3 linked regions of the Saccharomyces cerevisiae S288C genome follow. The gene in region 3 interacts genetically with the main gene of each other region. Each region holds a gene or a part of one and is shown on either strand. Other genes may lie near its edges.

What was found.
Region 1: mutations in PHO23 (region 3) and LTE1 together harm fitness more than expected from each alone (negative genetic interaction), as found in Saccharomyces cerevisiae (5 studies listed by BioGRID, with this or other methods).
Region 2: mutations in PHO23 (region 3) and RTT109 together harm fitness more than expected from each alone (negative genetic interaction), as found in Saccharomyces cerevisiae (5 studies listed by BioGRID).

What each region holds. Positions count from the first base shown.
Region 1 is NC_001133.9:101,065-108,486, forward strand, and holds LTE1 (mitotic regulator LTE1), read right to left. Parts: upstream 4,809-7,422; coding exon 501-4,808; downstream 1-500. Other genes in the region: ribosome biosynthesis protein MAK16, read right to left, coding at 1-81; dolichyl-phosphate-mannose-protein mannosyltransferase PMT2, read right to left, coding at 5,208-7,422. UniProt on the Saccharomyces cerevisiae protein: GDP-GTP exchange factor for TEM1, a Ras-like protein, component of the mitotic exit network (MEN).
Region 2 is NC_001144.5:143,455-148,101, forward strand, and holds RTT109 (H3 histone acetyltransferase RTT109), read left to right. Parts: upstream 1-2,836; coding exon 2,837-4,147; downstream 4,148-4,647. Other genes in the region: SFI1 (Sfi1p), read left to right, coding at 1-2,587; dynamin-related GTPase DNM1, read left to right, coding at 4,436-4,647. UniProt on the Saccharomyces cerevisiae protein: Histone chaperone-dependent acetylase that modifies 'Lys-9', 'Lys-14', 'Lys-23', 'Lys-27', and 'Lys-56' on histone H3 (H3K9Ac, H3K14Ac and H3K23Ac, H3K27Ac, and H3K56Ac) to promote nucleosome assembly, genomic stability, DNA repair and transcriptional regulation during mitotic S-phase.
Region 3 is NC_001146.8:440,845-445,405, forward strand, and holds PHO23 (Pho23p), read right to left. Parts: upstream 1,515-4,561; coding exon 522-1,514; downstream 1-521. Other genes in the region: PLS1 (Pls1p), read right to left, coding at 1-75; 40S ribosomal protein eS7 RPS7B, read right to left, coding at 2,554-2,982, 3,328-3,471; YNL095C (uncharacterized protein), read right to left, coding at 4,068-4,561. UniProt on the Saccharomyces cerevisiae protein: Component of the RPD3C(L) histone deacetylase complex (HDAC) responsible for the deacetylation of lysine residues on the N-terminal part of the core histones (H2A, H2B, H3 and H4).

The DNA.
Region 1 (7,422 bases), on a different chromosome or scaffold from region 3:
AAAATTTTGACCATTAGGTGCCTTAATTCTATGAGAGCAGAAACTTTGATTAATCACTTGCCAAACAATTTCGTCGGACATATCCTCGTTGTATTCTAACCGTTGTAGTTATGTACTGAAGAGAACACTGTCAAAAGAAAGAACTAAGCAATGCAATATCTGCCTCTATACCAATCACTTTTTCATTTTTTTTCAAAAGCTCATCGGAAAATTTTTCAAAAAAAAAAAAAAAAAAAAAAAAGGTTTATTACCCTACTGCATTTTGATAATCTGAACATAATGAGCTAATGAAAGCAATTCTCATTTAAAAACAAGTATTCTCTCTTATTGAAGTATGCATTATCTATCATTATAAATTCTTTTATTCTGTTCGAGTCCATGTTTTTAAAAAAAAAAAAACATGTATGTATGCTCCATCTATATATGCTCCATCTGTATATTTTATATGCAAAGTTTTTTACAAGAGGAATTTGGGAACTGGAGGAAAGTGGCACAATACCTCATGTGGATAGTTCATTAATCTCTTCTTGTGTTAATGTGCTAATATAAACACACTTACTCAGCAATTCGTGGTTAACTTTGAAAGTGTAAAACTTGGACCATTGAACCCTTTGAATGAAATTCTTGACTATTTGAACGTTCGTATCGAATTTATTGTAATTCACTACTTTATCTTCTAAGATCCAGTCTTTCTTCTCTGCGTTTGCTGATAGGTCCGAAAGATATACGACGATGAAAGGGACGCAACCCACCAGTGGATTCACAGAGTTAAGTAGATTTCTTATTGTAGAATAATTCCTGTCTAGCGAGGGAATCTTCTTTAGCTCTTCCCAAGTCAGTAAGTCGCCTGGTTCAATCAGACGCCATGCATCAGTGAATTTTTGAACAACTGAAGAACTTAAGGCTAGAATGATTTCCATCAATGTGTTAAAGTTCTGAAATGTCCTGCAGTGGTCTGCAACGTGTATAAACCTTTGAATGACATTTCTTTTCATTTTGCTGCTCTTGGTAAGAAGTATTTCTGATATAATCCAATCCACAGTTAAGTTAAATCTGGATATAGCTAAATCAATGCCAGATAAGGTCTCGTTCCTTACTAGTAGTTGCAACCAACTTATAACTTGTGGGCCTTCATGCTTCATCTTTAAATCTAATAAATCTTTCCAGTCTATTTCTCCTAAAATTTCCTTCTCTATCAAGGTCATTTGTTGCGCTACAGACAGGGAATCGTACATTAGTATAAATGGAACGTGACTTTCATTATTAGAAATCATTAATCTCGAATCGTGAATCCTGTATTGACCGATTAATTCCTGGATTTGCGCCGCTTGCACAGCAACATCAACATTAGCTGACACGTCTATTTTTTCAGGAGAGGAGGAAGTAAAGCCTTCCTTCTCGGATTGATCTGGAGTAAAGGGGATATTCATTATAGTTTGTCTCCTTCTTTCTATTAATAACGATTTTCTTTTTTCTGCGGGGCTATTTTGGAATGACGGCAAGTTGTTAAGGTTTAGCATTTCCACTTCATCTGCTAACTTGCTCGTTTTAATTCCAATAGCGTCACTACTCTTGGTGTTCTCTGGTTTTTCGGGAATTTTCTCGTATGTACCTTCCAGTTTCATTAATGCCACGGTTATTGGATCGTCATTAATTGAATCATCGAGCATATTAGCAATTTCATTTAAATTTTTCTTATTCAAGGAGCCTGTAAAAGCCGACTCAGAGTTTGCTCTCCGTGTGTTCCGGGCACTAGATGTGTCATTAATGTCGATATCGTCCATTGTCAATACACTTCCTGATATGTTACTATTAGTTTCACTCTCGTTCTTCAGAAATTTACTTTTCAGCTCTTCAACGTTTTTCATTGGAGAAGCAACGTCAATGCTACCGTCATCTGGTGAAAAAAAATACTTGTTGTTTTTCGCATGGGTACTTGGACTTTCTAGGTCATTATTGGAATCGCTTAAATCAATTGTTTTTAACTCATGCAATGAAGAAGTATTTGAGATTATATCTTGATTACCCCTTTGATATTCTTCTCTCAAATTTATTATCCTTTGGTGTGGCACTGGTAAATCTCTGGACGTTTCGAAAGTTTCAACTGTGCTACCAGTGGTAATCGAATTCAAATCACTTACAACAGATTCTATTGTGGGTGCTATGGATAATCTGATTCTATTGGTTTCACTCACGCTGGTCCCGTTGGGAAATTCTCTCTGTGGATTTTGAGTTTGTTTTAGAGGACTATTCTGAGCAGATTCAAAAAGCTTGCTCGTTGAGATACTGATAACGGTGGACGATGTATCAGAGTACAACGCGCTTTTTTTATTATATTCCAGGTTGAGAGGTTCTATTTCACTTATTTCCTCTATAACTGAGTTTGACTTGTTTTGCTCAGGATCTACTATGGATAACTCTTTGGTTGGTGTTATGGCAATGCTTTGAACTCTTGAAATGCTGATCCTTCCACTAGCCGGTCTTACAACTGCTTGTTTGATCTTGTGATTGCAAGATGAATGTTTTTTTCTTGTAGTTATATCATAATTATTGGCTTCTGATGATGCATCGAGTGAGTTGTCCAGCTTTTTTGTGCTCTCATATTCTGATTCCTGATTTTCTTTGTTATCATAATTCTTTTCAAGGCCATCTATAGTACTCTTTTTCTCATCTAAAGACTTGGTATCTTCAAATGTAAACTCTCTTAGATTTAAAAATCCAGTTTTTGTTTTTAGAGTTGGACTATCTGTATTATTCACGATGTTTCTGACTTTTCTTGACTTTTTCGTTACAGTATCTCTGGGTGGAGAGCTGGATGACAACTCGGAATCGTATGAGTATGTTATTGATTCTGTGTCTTCCCTACTATCGTTTAAGGGAGACGATTCTTTAAGATCAGGTAGAACATTTTTCAGAGGCGAAGAAGTCATGCTTTTTTGGGATTGGGAATGATTTTTCCTCCTTGGTGTCATATTTGTAATCGCTTCTGAGTTGGTTTTATCAGTTTCATGGAATAACAATCTTTGAGGTCCATTCTCGTCTGTACGTGAAGAACTATTATCTTTATCAAAGAGCCTCATACTTTCTGCTGAGTAGCTACCGTGCATTTTATTGTAATATGCTGTCGTGAGACTTTTTACTTTCCTTCGTTGCAGTGCATCATACGAGGGTGATGGCTGCATATTCGATTCATTGTTCTGCAGTTGCTTGTTTAAAGTATTAGTTAAAGAGATGACTGACTGAGCAATTGAACTTACGGTTTGATACAGATCCAAATTGTCCATAGCGCTAAAATTATCATTACTCGGTTTAAAGCTATTTTGTTGTAAAATCTTTATATCATGTATGTGTTCCCGACGTTCACAATCAACATTAACTGTAGGACCTCGGTTGTTATTCGAATGTGTTTGAACTTTTTCTATCAGCTGGTTTTGTAAATGCAGTAGGGACTCCACTTCATCTATGGTTCTTGCACTTAGGATGTCAAATTTAGAAGAATCAGAGTTAAGAAACTCTTCCTCTTCTTCCTTGGAAGATTTTCTATTGAGAGATGATATTGATACAACGTATTTGACAAACGCATCCATTTCAGGTTTCTGGTTTGCTGGTTTAATAGCACTCATAAATTTTTTATCATTACTGCTATCATGGCGATTATGGTTTTTCATCCACTTAGCTAAAAGACCAATAGCGCTGCGATGTAACACAGACATTGAAGATGTATTAGATCTACTATTACTGTTGCTATTGTTATCTAGAGATGATGTCGTCGATGTACCTTGAAGCGTTCCGCTTTGTTCATTTAAATCTTCAGGAATATATAAGGAATTCAGAATAAATTCAACTTTTTTAGCCGGTGTTGGAGGCATTATTTTATCGACTGCATATGATGACGGGTAGTCTACGCCTTTCATTAGTGTGGATACTAGAGTGACTTTTGACAAGTGGCTGATCTTTTGTTTACTATCTGACATGTCCTCGCTTTCATTATCAACTGAAGGTTCTTTCGCTATTCGGTGCTTCGAGTAAACATTTGATGTATTATCGGGAAATAAAAGCATAGAAGGGCTTCTCTGGTTTTTGGAAGAATTTGAAGACTGTAGCTTCTCCGGCAGTCTAAATACATCAGAAGTTTTATATAATGATAAAACGCTTTGGTTACGAAAATCAGGACTGGCAAAACTTTGCCTGGCGTAAATGCTCAGTCGGCTTCCTCTTTTGTGTAGGCTTTCTAGTTGCGTGAAATCCTTTAACGAATAATGCAGCCATGCATCAAAGTCTAATTTATCAGGTTCATTTAGTTCAATATTCTCCCAAACCAACTTAGAACAATGCACCCAGTTTTTTTTCAGATTGATTATACAGCTGGAAATTATTTTTGGGTACTGTTCAATGTGTTTGTCGTTTAGAAACTCGATCAACCGAAGTCTTAATGTTATGTTCGGTAAAAAATCTTGCACAAAATAATTCAGTATGGAATGCCTCAACAACACAAACGTCCTCACGAGGGCAACTTCACCAATTCGCCTTCTCTTAGCTTTTGCAGCATTTGTTGTGATCTCCCTAATACACCATCGAAATCTATAGATGAGTAAGTCGTGTAAGTCTTGAGGCGTTATAAAATTCCTATAAATAAGGAAAAAATCTGCAGATGCGTTGTAGTCTACACCTTCCAAAGGGGAAGAAAGGTGTACAATTAACGCGGGCAGGTCTGCACTATTCACTGGTTTGGATACACAATCGCTTTCATAGCTAATAACATTTGAGGATGGAGTCGGGTAGTAATCTTTCTGGCTAAATATTTCCATGGTTCAGGGTAGCGAATCTTTGAATGGCTAGAGGCTATGTAAAGCAAACAAAAAGGTTCGCGTAAATCAACGAGCGAATAACACGAGTACGGTTGGGGTGGGCTAAAGGGTTCAAGAAATTATCAGTTTCTGTTTACAGTTTTTTTTTCATTGTTGATAAAAAGATCAAGAATTTCATTATTCGCGAAAATCAAAATGCAGAAAGGAAAAAATAGAAGGGTAATAAAACAGCATCGGATCGCAAAGATGAGTAAGGAGAACAGCCTGGTTAACAATTAAAGAGTGTTTATCGAAATTCATTATATAGTGGTTTATATAGACCACTTCTTCTGCTGGTTGATATAGAAATTTTATTTAATTCTTGTTTTTTACTTATGTACTTACTACGATGATCTTAATTCATGCTTCTTGCTTGTCGGCAATGTCCCAAGTGGAAAACCAGTTTAAGTAGCGGAAGTTACTACTTGGTCCCTCCATACCAAATGATATTGGGGAGAAGTACCAGAAGCAACCAATTACAAGTGCCATGAATCCGGCGTATAGGACGAACCGCATGATACGGCCGCACTTAGATCTGGACCATTTTTGCAAACCGGCGTCGAAACAGTACGCCAAAATGATCAGTGCAAAATACAAGGCAGGCAAGTAATGATGAACGTAGGTGACTCTAGACATGATAACGAATGGCATGTAGTGTAGGCCCCAAGCTAGTAGTGGGTAGAACCCGCCCATTAAGAAAACGTTCCAGTTAGATGGATTTCTTAGGTCCACATATTGTCTTTGCCATCTGATCAGTAAGATAACGACCGTGGCCATGAATGCGAGGACGGCAACACTAGAAGCCCACGTGGAAGCTGGGGTACCCAATAGGAAGTATTTTGGATTATCATCACCCCAGCCACATAGTCTCAAACCCACATTCAAAGTTGGCCATTGCCATGCTGAGGAAGCTAAGTAATCAAATTTGTCTGGATCTGGCACCAAAGCGTTATTAGTGGCCATCATGGCTAGATTTAAATGAATGAAGTCTTTTAAGAAGTTGGTCTTTGGGTATTGAAAATCTTCGGGTCTTGGTGGCAACCTTTCATTTTCGTGGGTCTCGATGTTCCACCAGGTCCTCTTGTCCCTCTTGAATGGGTTTTTCATGCAGACAACCTCTTGTTGTCTGAAACCCCATTCGGGCAAACTGTTACCGGTTTGAGCCAAGTAACAGCCCATCTCCAAGTTCTTGATACGGAAAGAGGTGGTCAATGTGTGCAACTTCTCAGGGTCTTCATCTCCTCTTTGGTCCATGATCTCAATAACCCAATTGTCTTTGTTGTCACCAACAACATTGTCACCGTAACCAGAAACCTCCCATTGTGTCTTTGACACTGGTGCAGCAACTGGGTGGGTGTGCAAGTTTCTGCCCGTGCTTTTGTGTACCAATCTATAGGAGGTACCTGGCTTCAAATACTCGATGTCAGTTTCGTTTTCTGACCATGATGGTAAGCCTCTTTCTCTGTTGAAAAACCATTCGTTGTTAGCATCTTTGTAACCATAACAGGTTACTTGTTGTTGGTTGGACCCATCTGGATAAGTTTGTATATGTGAGTGCAATAGAGATCCTCCAAGAGCTTGGTTTTTGATGGAAACAACGGAGGAACCTAGAGCAATGTCACGGGGGCCTTGTCCGACGTCAGAACCCACTAATCTTGCTTGGAAAAGAGATGGCATGTTAGCATCACCTGTACCAGAATGCGATAATAGGTCAAAATGTATTTTGAAGCACAATAGGAAAATGCAGAAGGGGACGATAATAAGACCAAATATTCTTGCCAACCAGTGGTTAATATAGGTTTTCCATGACATGGATTTATCTGCCAAAAAGGTCCATAAGTCAATCACAGTATAGATACCGACCATAGTGATGATAAATAGACCCACCATTTTGACGGAAATAGTGCAACCCAAAGAAATACCAGTGATCAACAGCCATTTCCACCACTTTCTAGAGAACGGCTTGGACCTCTGGTTGTGGAACATAACAAAACTAAAGAACGATGCGACAGTGAAGAAAAGTAGCATGGAGTCCAAAAGAATGAACCTGCCCAAAGTACTATACGAGTTTTCAAACAAAACCAACACGGTCATCAGCCAAACTGTTGGTAAAGAAAATCCAATAGCTTTGGCAGTGAAGTAGGCCAATGGCACACAGAGCGCGGAAAATGACGCGTTGAACAGTCTCATTTTAACATAATCCAAATAGTCTGGGTAAATTTCCCCAGAAGGGAAGTCCCAAGAACCGTTGTAGCCTGCCAAATAACCAGACAACCCGACCAGCATTTTTCCTAGGGGAGGATGGACATCGTGGTAAAATTCGTGTCTCAAGTAATAAGAACCAAATTTACCAAAGTGCGCCTCATCCCAAACAACATGGTTGTTGATGCCGATTTTGTACATCCTGGTAAACAACGCCAATGCAGTAAAGATCACCGGCATTACAACGGATTCCAGGCGTAACAGTGAGCTTTGTGCAGCGGGCTTTTCCTTCGAGAAATCTTCCGCGTCTCTCTCATCAGCGCTCGAAAGTTCCTCACTGACGCTGATGGAAGACGATTCTCTTTGTCTCAGT
Region 2 (4,647 bases), on a different chromosome or scaffold from region 3:
GACAAATCTGGAGTATGAAGACGTTACCGATCTTCCTAAGAATGGTTTACGATATGATTTGAATGATATATCCGTTGAGGTAATCGAAGATTTATACCGCCAGATTGAAGCTTTTTTGGTTCATTTCAAACTATCCAGAAGTTTTTTACAAATTTTCAAAAACTATGTCAATATTCTTATTCAAGAAGGCATCAATCCTTTACGCGATGAGTACTTCACAATATTGGAAGATGAACTGAAAGGTTTTTTCACTTTCAATTCTGTTATAGAAGAGATTTTAGAAATATTTTTAATCCACCCTCGCAACAAATTCATTGCATTGTCCCTTGCAGAATATACCTACGCTAAGAACAAAATCAGAAGACATTTTAATCACTGGAAGACTGTATGTGAATTGAATGAAGAGGCAAACAGGTTTGCAAATCAAGCAAAGCTGAGGGTACAGGAAGCCGTCTTCTATATTTGGAGTGATAAAACATTAAAATACTCACAGATGGCCAACGATGAAGCTGAAAGTTTTAGGAATACTTGGCTACTATTTCGCTCGTTCCAACAATGGATAACTTTAACACAAACTCTTAAGGAGCAGTCAAGGTTAGCAGATCAGGCCTTTTTGAATAAGATGTTTAGGAAAATTTTAAAGGCACAAGAGCATTGGAAACACTTAGAAACTGTTAACACTGACAACATTAAGAAGATATTTTTACGAACAACATTTCATATATGGAAGCTAAGACATAAAGAAATAAACTACCACGGGTTGGAAAGAAGGATTTTCGAAAGAATAAAACAGAAAGTTATAAACTATGAATACAATAAGAGCATTGCAGAAAAAGTGAGGTCGTTTTCTCTACAAAGAAAATATCTGAATAAATGGGAAAAGAAAAACATTGAAAACGAAGATAAACTTGGGGCACTTTATGAACTGGAGAATAAATTCATCAAACAAAAGTTTTTTCGCAAATTAAACCGGTCATTTCAACATAGTCAACAAGAGGCAATTGCAAAGAGTAAACTAAATCAGACACTTTTGAGGTGCGTTTTTGAGAAGATGTGGCTGAAAAGATTCGAAGACCATCTGCATTTGTATTCAATTGTAAGTCTAAAAGAGGCTAACCTCGTGAAGCGTATTTTTCATTCATGGAAAAAACTTCTATATATTGACCTCAAAGCAAGCGATTATTCGAGGACTAATTTGCTCAAGTCATCATTGCGAAGTTGGAAACTTGAAGTAAAGTTAAAAATATTTGAGCAGAAATGTAAAAAGAGTATTCAAGCAAGCGCGTATCGTACATGGAGGAAAAGAATACAGTATGGGAAAATATCGAGCGAACATGTTAAAACGGCATTTTGTGCAAAATATCTTGGTGTGTGGAAAAGGAGGATGCTACAAATGAATTCTATGAATGACGAAGCATCCAAATTTTACGAAGAGGGTCTCGTAAATGAGTGTCTAGCTATATGGAAAGAACGCCTGATTAAAACTAAGGAATTGGAGGATAGATACAATTTCTTATGTAAGACACATGCAATTTTGACTGTAAAACGGACGCTAATGCATATTGATAATGTTCATTTGCTATATACGAAACTGGCGCCCTCTATGGATAGAGTAAAGCTTTCTAAGGCCTTTTTAAAGTGGCGGAAAGCCACAAGGTTCAAAGTCAGGCATAAGTTAAACGATATTTTACACGTTTATGAAAAGAGTAAAGAGCGCGAACTTCAAAGCCAACTGTTCAACGCTTGGCGAAATAGATTTTGCTTCTACACAGAAGAATGTAACATTCAGGCTATTTCAAAGAGAAACTACCAGCTTGAAAAAATGGTGCTGAAGAAATTTAGAGAAAGACTTTTAGAGATAGTAAAATCAGAAGAATTAGCAGACGAAGTTCGCGAAGAATTTGTGTTAGTCAAGACGTTTTATATTTGGAAAACTCATCTAGACGAAATATTTTATATGAGTACATTATTGGAACAATCGGAAGCTAATAAACAATTCATAATTACATCCAAATTCTTGAAAATGTGGAGTCTTCGATTCCTAAAAATTAAGCGTAATGATGAGACAGTCGAGGTGTTTCGTCATCGGTGGGACAGGGCCACTGTAAGGGGATTGTTATTATTATGGAAAAATCGTTCAGACAGTTCTCCAAAGAGAAGGAAGGACTTCAATCTTAAACATGAACTAAAAACTCCCATAAGATCAGACTCTCAAAACGCCTCAACCATACCAGGCTCAGAAAGAATAAAGCAGCACAGAATGGAAGCGATGAAGTCGCATTATAGCAGGGCAAGAAGAGCCATACCAAGTCCGGTGAAATCTTCCAGTGTTCTTGATTCTACAGCTAAAAAACAGATCAACCTTGAAAGTACGACAGGCTTAAACGGATCTCCGACGCGAGGAAAACCTCTAAGGTATTCTCCTAGGCGTACCACTAGAAACATGCCATCCAAAGTTGACCATATTGATTTTGGCAGAATACCCGCTGTACCTTTTAGCCTAAGCGCCAATTCTCCTAAAATCGATCAAGATATGGATTATATAAGAGAGCATGATAAATCCCCGTTAAGTCGTAAACGTCAATAGATATATATATTATGTACGTATGTATGTGTGCATATGTAGTCGTAACCTTTCTTGCTTCTGAGATGCATACAATTACTAATAATATTCTCCAGGTCTATGAAAACATCACAACATACTATACTTTTCGTGTTCGCGTTGTAAGCTATAATGGAAAATGGACGCCATAACGCATTACTTAACAAACTACAGTTTGTCAATAGAGTTGTCCAGTAGAGTTAAAAGGTCAATTCAACCGGTCTTCAATAAGACATGTCACTGAATGACTTCCTAAGTTCCGTGCTACCTGTCAGTGAACAATTTGAATACTTATCGTTGCAATCTATTCCGTTAGAAACCCATGCTGTCGTAACCCCAAATAAGGACGACAAAAGGGTCCCAAAAAGCACGATCAAGACTCAACACTTCTTTAGTCTATTTCACCAAGGAAAAGTTTTTTTTTCATTAGAAGTGTATGTGTATGTCACGCTTTGGGATGAAGCAGATGCCGAACGGTTAATATTTGTATCAAAGGCAGACACTAATGGTTATTGTAATACGAGGGTAAGCGTTAGAGATATTACAAAAATAATATTAGAATTTATATTATCAATCGACCCGAATTACTATCTTCAAAAAGTAAAACCGGCAATAAGATCATATAAGAAGATATCCCCCGAGCTGATTAGCGCAGCCAGTACGCCAGCAAGAACTTTAAGGATTTTGGCTAGAAGGCTTAAACAGTCAGGCAGCACCGTTTTGAAAGAAATAGAATCTCCACGTTTTCAACAAGATCTTTATCTCTCATTCACCTGTCCTCGTGAGATTTTGACCAAAATTTGTTTATTTACTAGACCTGCATCCCAGTACCTCTTCCCAGATTCTTCAAAAAACAGCAAAAAGCATATACTAAATGGCGAGGAACTAATGAAATGGTGGGGCTTTATTTTGGATAGATTACTAATTGAATGCTTTCAAAATGATACACAAGCAAAATTAAGGATACCGGGCGAAGATCCTGCTCGAGTAAGATCATACCTAAGAGGGATGAAATATCCACTATGGCAAGTGGGTGATATATTTACCTCTAAAGAAAATTCTCTTGCGGTATATAATATTCCATTATTCCCAGACGATCCTAAGGCTAGATTTATACACCAATTGGCAGAGGAAGATCGCCTCCTCAAAGTAAGCTTATCATCCTTCTGGATTGAACTACAAGAGCGTCAAGAGTTCAAATTAAGTGTCACATCATCTGTAATGGGTATTTCGGGATACTCTCTTGCCACTCCATCTTTATTTCCATCTAGTGCCGATGTTATTGTACCGAAGTCAAGGAAGCAGTTTAGGGCAATCAAGAAGTACATTACTGGAGAGGAATACGATACAGAGGAAGGCGCAATAGAAGCTTTCACCAATATTCGTGATTTTCTATTGCTCAGAATGGCAACAAATCTTCAATCTTTAACAGGGAAGAGGGAGCATCGGGAGAGAAATCAGCCGGTTCCTGCAAGCAACATCAACACGTTGGCGATAACAATGCTAAAACCGCGTAAAAAAGCTAAAGCCTTGCCTAAAACTTGATACATATTGATATTTATTATTTAGTACACGTATGTAGCATCGATCTTAGAAAATGCATGTTTGTATTTATTGTTAGTACCTTGATCGCCACCTTTCTAGGTAATGATAGGTCCTCAACTTTTACTACGCGGTGCACGCCTGTAAGGTCGGGCAAAACAAAGTGTGGGAACAATAAATAAGAGGGTAGGATGAAATATTACCTTTACTCTACTGCTCAGGTTGGCCACAATTTGCTAAAGAGTTTATCATTAAGTAGCTACCAGCGAATCTAAATACGACGGATAAAGAATGGCTAGTTTAGAAGATCTTATTCCTACTGTCAACAAGCTGCAGGATGTTATGTACGACTCCGGGATCGATACACTCGATTTGCCCATTTTAGCTGTTGTTGGGTCACAATCCTCCGGGAAATCCTCGATATTGGAAACGTTAGTTGGAAGAGATTTTTTACCTAGGGGTACTGGTATTGTCACAAGAAGACCGTTAGTTCTTCAACTTAA
Region 3 (4,561 bases):
TGTTTGCTGATGTGAACCTTGTTTCCCGTTTTCCCAGATCCCCTTATTCCAGCTTTGTTTCGTCTTTGCTGTCATGTTCCGTTTAATTTCTGAAGGCCTGCCTAGCTTCACCGTCCTAAATGTCACGCTCCAGGCAGAGACATGGCGCAGGGGCGAGGCCAGGGGCAAAGGGGTCAGGCAGGAACCTCCAAGGGGGGCGAGGTGAATGAAAAGGTCCTTCTGAATAAAAAGCCTAAGCGATTAGCCACACCACCCACTGTACGGCGATTAGACTGAGCTGCTGGCGCTGCTACGCCGTGACAAGTCATTTCATCATTTATTACGTTTTATCGTGCCGTCATCACCATCGATTTGAATATTTTATCTAGACCGGTAGGGCCCAAGTATCTTGCAGATCCATTGATACGGCCACGCCCGTTAAAACGCTAAGATATATATATATGTAGCTAAGATATATATATATGTATATATTCGGTATTTAGTAGATATTTCCTTAAGGCGATATTCGCCCGAGAGCTATTTCACAGTTTTTTTTTGCAGTCGTCGCAATACCACTTGCCCTTAGGTAGAGTTTCGAGTCCAATACATGGCAAATGGAACCATTCTAGCTCACAGTCTGCGCCATCACACCCCACCATTTCCCCGTATGCCACTTGGTTACAGTAGCAGTAGAGCGGTTCGCCGTAGTCGTTGGTTTTTGGTCTTGATATCCTGCTGTTGTTGCTGTTTCCGACGCTGCTAACTCCCCTGGACGCTGTAGATGTACCTATCCTGCCATTATTGACGGCAGTTGCCGTGCTGATAGTGCTTGGTGAAACGGCTGTGGTGGCAACTCTCCTCTTGCGTTTTTTGGTCTCTGGATCGGCGTTGTTGGTATTGGCAGCGTTGGCTCTTTTTCTTGAGTTTGTGTTGTTACCAGTGTGGTCTTGGCTCTCGTGCCTGCTGCCTCCGTAGTTTGCGTCGTTCTTTGAGTCGTCTTGTTGGTGTGTGCTGGCGGAGTAATGTTCGCCCTGCCTCCTGTTGGCAGCCATGGCTTCTCTTCTTGATTCGCTCTTCAGTGCCTGCGACGATTTGCTGTTTGATTTGCTCTCTATTTTTTCCATTAGTTCATGATGGAGGTGCATTGCTGGATGGTTGTCCACACCCAGTCTTAAACCTCTAGGAATTTCTGTGTTCTTGATTGCGACTTCATACGCCAATTCTAACCGGGACGTCAATCTGTCTAGATTATCCAGCATAATGGATGAGACATGCATTTTCTCCTCCAGCGATGGCATCAGTTCTTCATAAATCTTGTTGATATTATTGAGCAGTCTTACTTGTGTTTGGTGATCTTTATTGAAGTCTTTCTTCAAGAACTTATCTATCCTCTCGTTCAAATTCGGCATAGAATGCACACATTTTGCATCTATTTCGTGTAGTAATGTTAAATATCTGGAGGTGGCCAGTGGGAATTCCTCCAGCACGTCAGTTATGTCGTTTAATCCAGGGAATAGGTTCGCTGGTGAACTCATTTGTACGTATTTCAGACTATGAACGTGGTTGCTGTTTGTGATACTGCAAGACTACAAACTTTTCTCCTTCCGGGTTCGTCCTGTTGTAAACGCCTAACTCTTTTCCTTAGGCTCCTTTTTCGTTTTTTCCCTAGCTCTTTCTTTCTTCTTCATGTGCATGCACTCTTTCCTACATATTTTTTTTTCAAGGGCATTTTTAACTTTCTTCGGAAATCGTCTAAGAATTGTAAACTATAATTGCAAATACGCGATTAGCTCTATCTAGAATACCGAAAAAAAGGTTTGCCACTCACAATTGGACGTGCCTCAATTATTTCAAGTATACGTCATTTGGGCTTTTGACTTGTAAAATATACTCAAATGAAATTCTGATTATACAAAGTTGAAACACGTAACACGCCATGTCAAGGTACGCGTAGAGGTAAGCAGATAATGCATGGACAATGTGCTGGGCGAAGAGGCGGATCTAATTACACATACTTGGGATCATCTAAGATTTCAGATGGTTATGTTAATGCTCACTTGTTCCACGCCTTTTTCCTTTCCTTCAGATAAGTAATCCGCATATCAATGTGAAAGAACTAACGGTTGTTGATGGACGTATCGTTGTCTAGCGATAAATAATGCTTTTTCTTCAACAAATAAGTGGTTGTTTGGCCGAGCGGTCTAAGGCGCCTGATTCAAGAAATATCTTGACCGCAGTTAACTGTGGGAATACTCAGGTATCGTAAGATGCAAGAGTTCGAATCTCTTAGCAACCATTATTTTTTTTCCTTTTTATCTGATTGCAGCGAGAACTTGGGAAATCAACCCAATATGTATTCCAAAATGTCAAAACACCAATTAAAGCATCTCTATATTGACAGATACAAAATATATTTAAGTATACATTCATAATTATTTTACTCGAATTAAAAAAGCCCACTTTTTGGAAACCTCCTTTTGTATTCTCATAACTATGTTTCTTTTTTTATTATTTTTTCTTAATATTATTTTCTTTAAGTATGACAAATGATGAGAATGATAGTTATCTCACTATTTAGTTGGTCTGGCTTGGAATTTCAAAAACAATTTGTTTGCCAGTCAACTTGTTGTAGACAGCTTGGAAAGATTCCAACTTGTAGTCGATTTGTTGAACATCCTTGGAGTCTAACAAAACCTTTTGGATCTTGTTACCACCAACCAAATATCTAACTCTTTTACCGACAATTTCAGTTGGGAAAACCATGTCTTCCAAAACCTTGTCGTGAACAGCAGTCAAAGTTCTGGATCTTGGTCTCTTTTGGACTTGTCTAGATGTTCTAGATGGTTTTGGCAAGATTCTTCTTTCAGCCAAGAAAATAACATGACGGTCAGGGAATTTCTTTTCCAATTCACGGGTCAATTTGGTTTGGACCTTATGGTATGCAGACAAAGCTGGAACTGGGACAAAAAGGACTAGTGCTTTCTTACCACCGGTGACATCAATCTAAACAATAAGAATCAAGCAGCGTTGAAATAAAGTTAGTAACTGAATTGGTTCATTCATAACAAAAAAGGGTTTGTGATTCTTCTCCTTGGGGTAAGGTCTTTTTCGCGTGCTTCTATTTTATTCATCGATATTGGTACTGACCAAGGAGGCCTTTATAGTTCAAAGGCTCATCGCAACGTTCATGGTATTGACAGCTCTCGGAATTACTATTTTTCTCGAACACATGAAAATTTCATACAGATACTGCTCAAAATCACTCTTTTTTGAAAAAATTACTGCAAAGAACCCCTTTAGAAGAAATCACAATGTTGCTGCTTCCAAATTATATAACTTTTAACATACTTCTCTGATAGATTTGATTTGCAATGGTCTCAAGTCAGCCTTTAGTTCTGGAGAGGAGCTTTCTAGATCGATGAAGGTCTTGGCGACTTGTAATTCCAACTCACTTGGAGCTTGGGATAAGATCTTGGATTGGACAGAGGACATTGGTCAGTTATGTGTCTAGTCTTTAGTGTGTTGGTTTCTCTTCTGTTTGTATATACAAAGTCAAATAACACATATTTTAACCATAATCAATAGCATTTGGTATTTCCCCCTCCGCGTATTATGAACGCCTAGTGAGCCCATTCTTCCCTAAAGCCAGGCTGGAAACCCAAACTGTGTGGAACGTGACTGAATTGCATTTGGTGAGTTACCAAGCAAAGGCTCGCAGGCTTGAACCACATTTTACCAGGGCGCTCGCTTTTTCCGAAATATTGAAATTAAGCAAAACAATAATGTACGGATTTAAAGAGGTACGGATGGAGACCGTAGAAAATTGACTTTTTTTTTTTTTTTGTTATTTTCTGTGCCTTTCGTAACTACTACTATGCAGAATGACAGGTAGTTGTTGTTTCGAATTGCTACTTTCACGCATTCAACTTGATCAACATTTCTCTCTGATGAAAGGTTGTGGAAAGTTTGGTCGTGTCTATAAGTAGGTGTTTTTTATTAGTTCTATATAAAAATGGAGAATGTTAATTTTAACCCACCCTAAAACAGTGATTAGGAGTGGTAATAATTTTTTGTTTAATGGATTAAAACTAAAGGTTCATCTGTACTTTCAGAAAGTAAGACACTAAAAATGGCAAGCTAACAACCATTAGCGGGTATTGCAGCATTAAGAAAAATGAAACACACTCCATTTGGATTGGCGCAGTTGTTTCTGGCGGCGTAAAACTGGCGGTGAAATATATAAGGGTAGTCATCGTTGGCAAGTTCCAGCTGATTGCTATAACAAATAGTAGCATTCTATCATCTTGCCAATTAACCCATCCAGCTTTCACTAACCGATCACACCATAGGACACCAAAAATTGGCATGACACATTGTCTCAAAATGACGAGTGTCACAGCGGCTTTCCAAAATCCAGGATAAAGGTTGCCAATCTTTAATCTTCCTAAAGTTGCTCCTAATAATATCAACCCAAATGGAACACATGCGGCACCGACATAACCTGTAAAATCCATGAAAAAGCTTAATGGTGGTGCATTGTCAGGAGCTTGGCTTATGTGAGGAGTATTAGCGGTAGTCACGA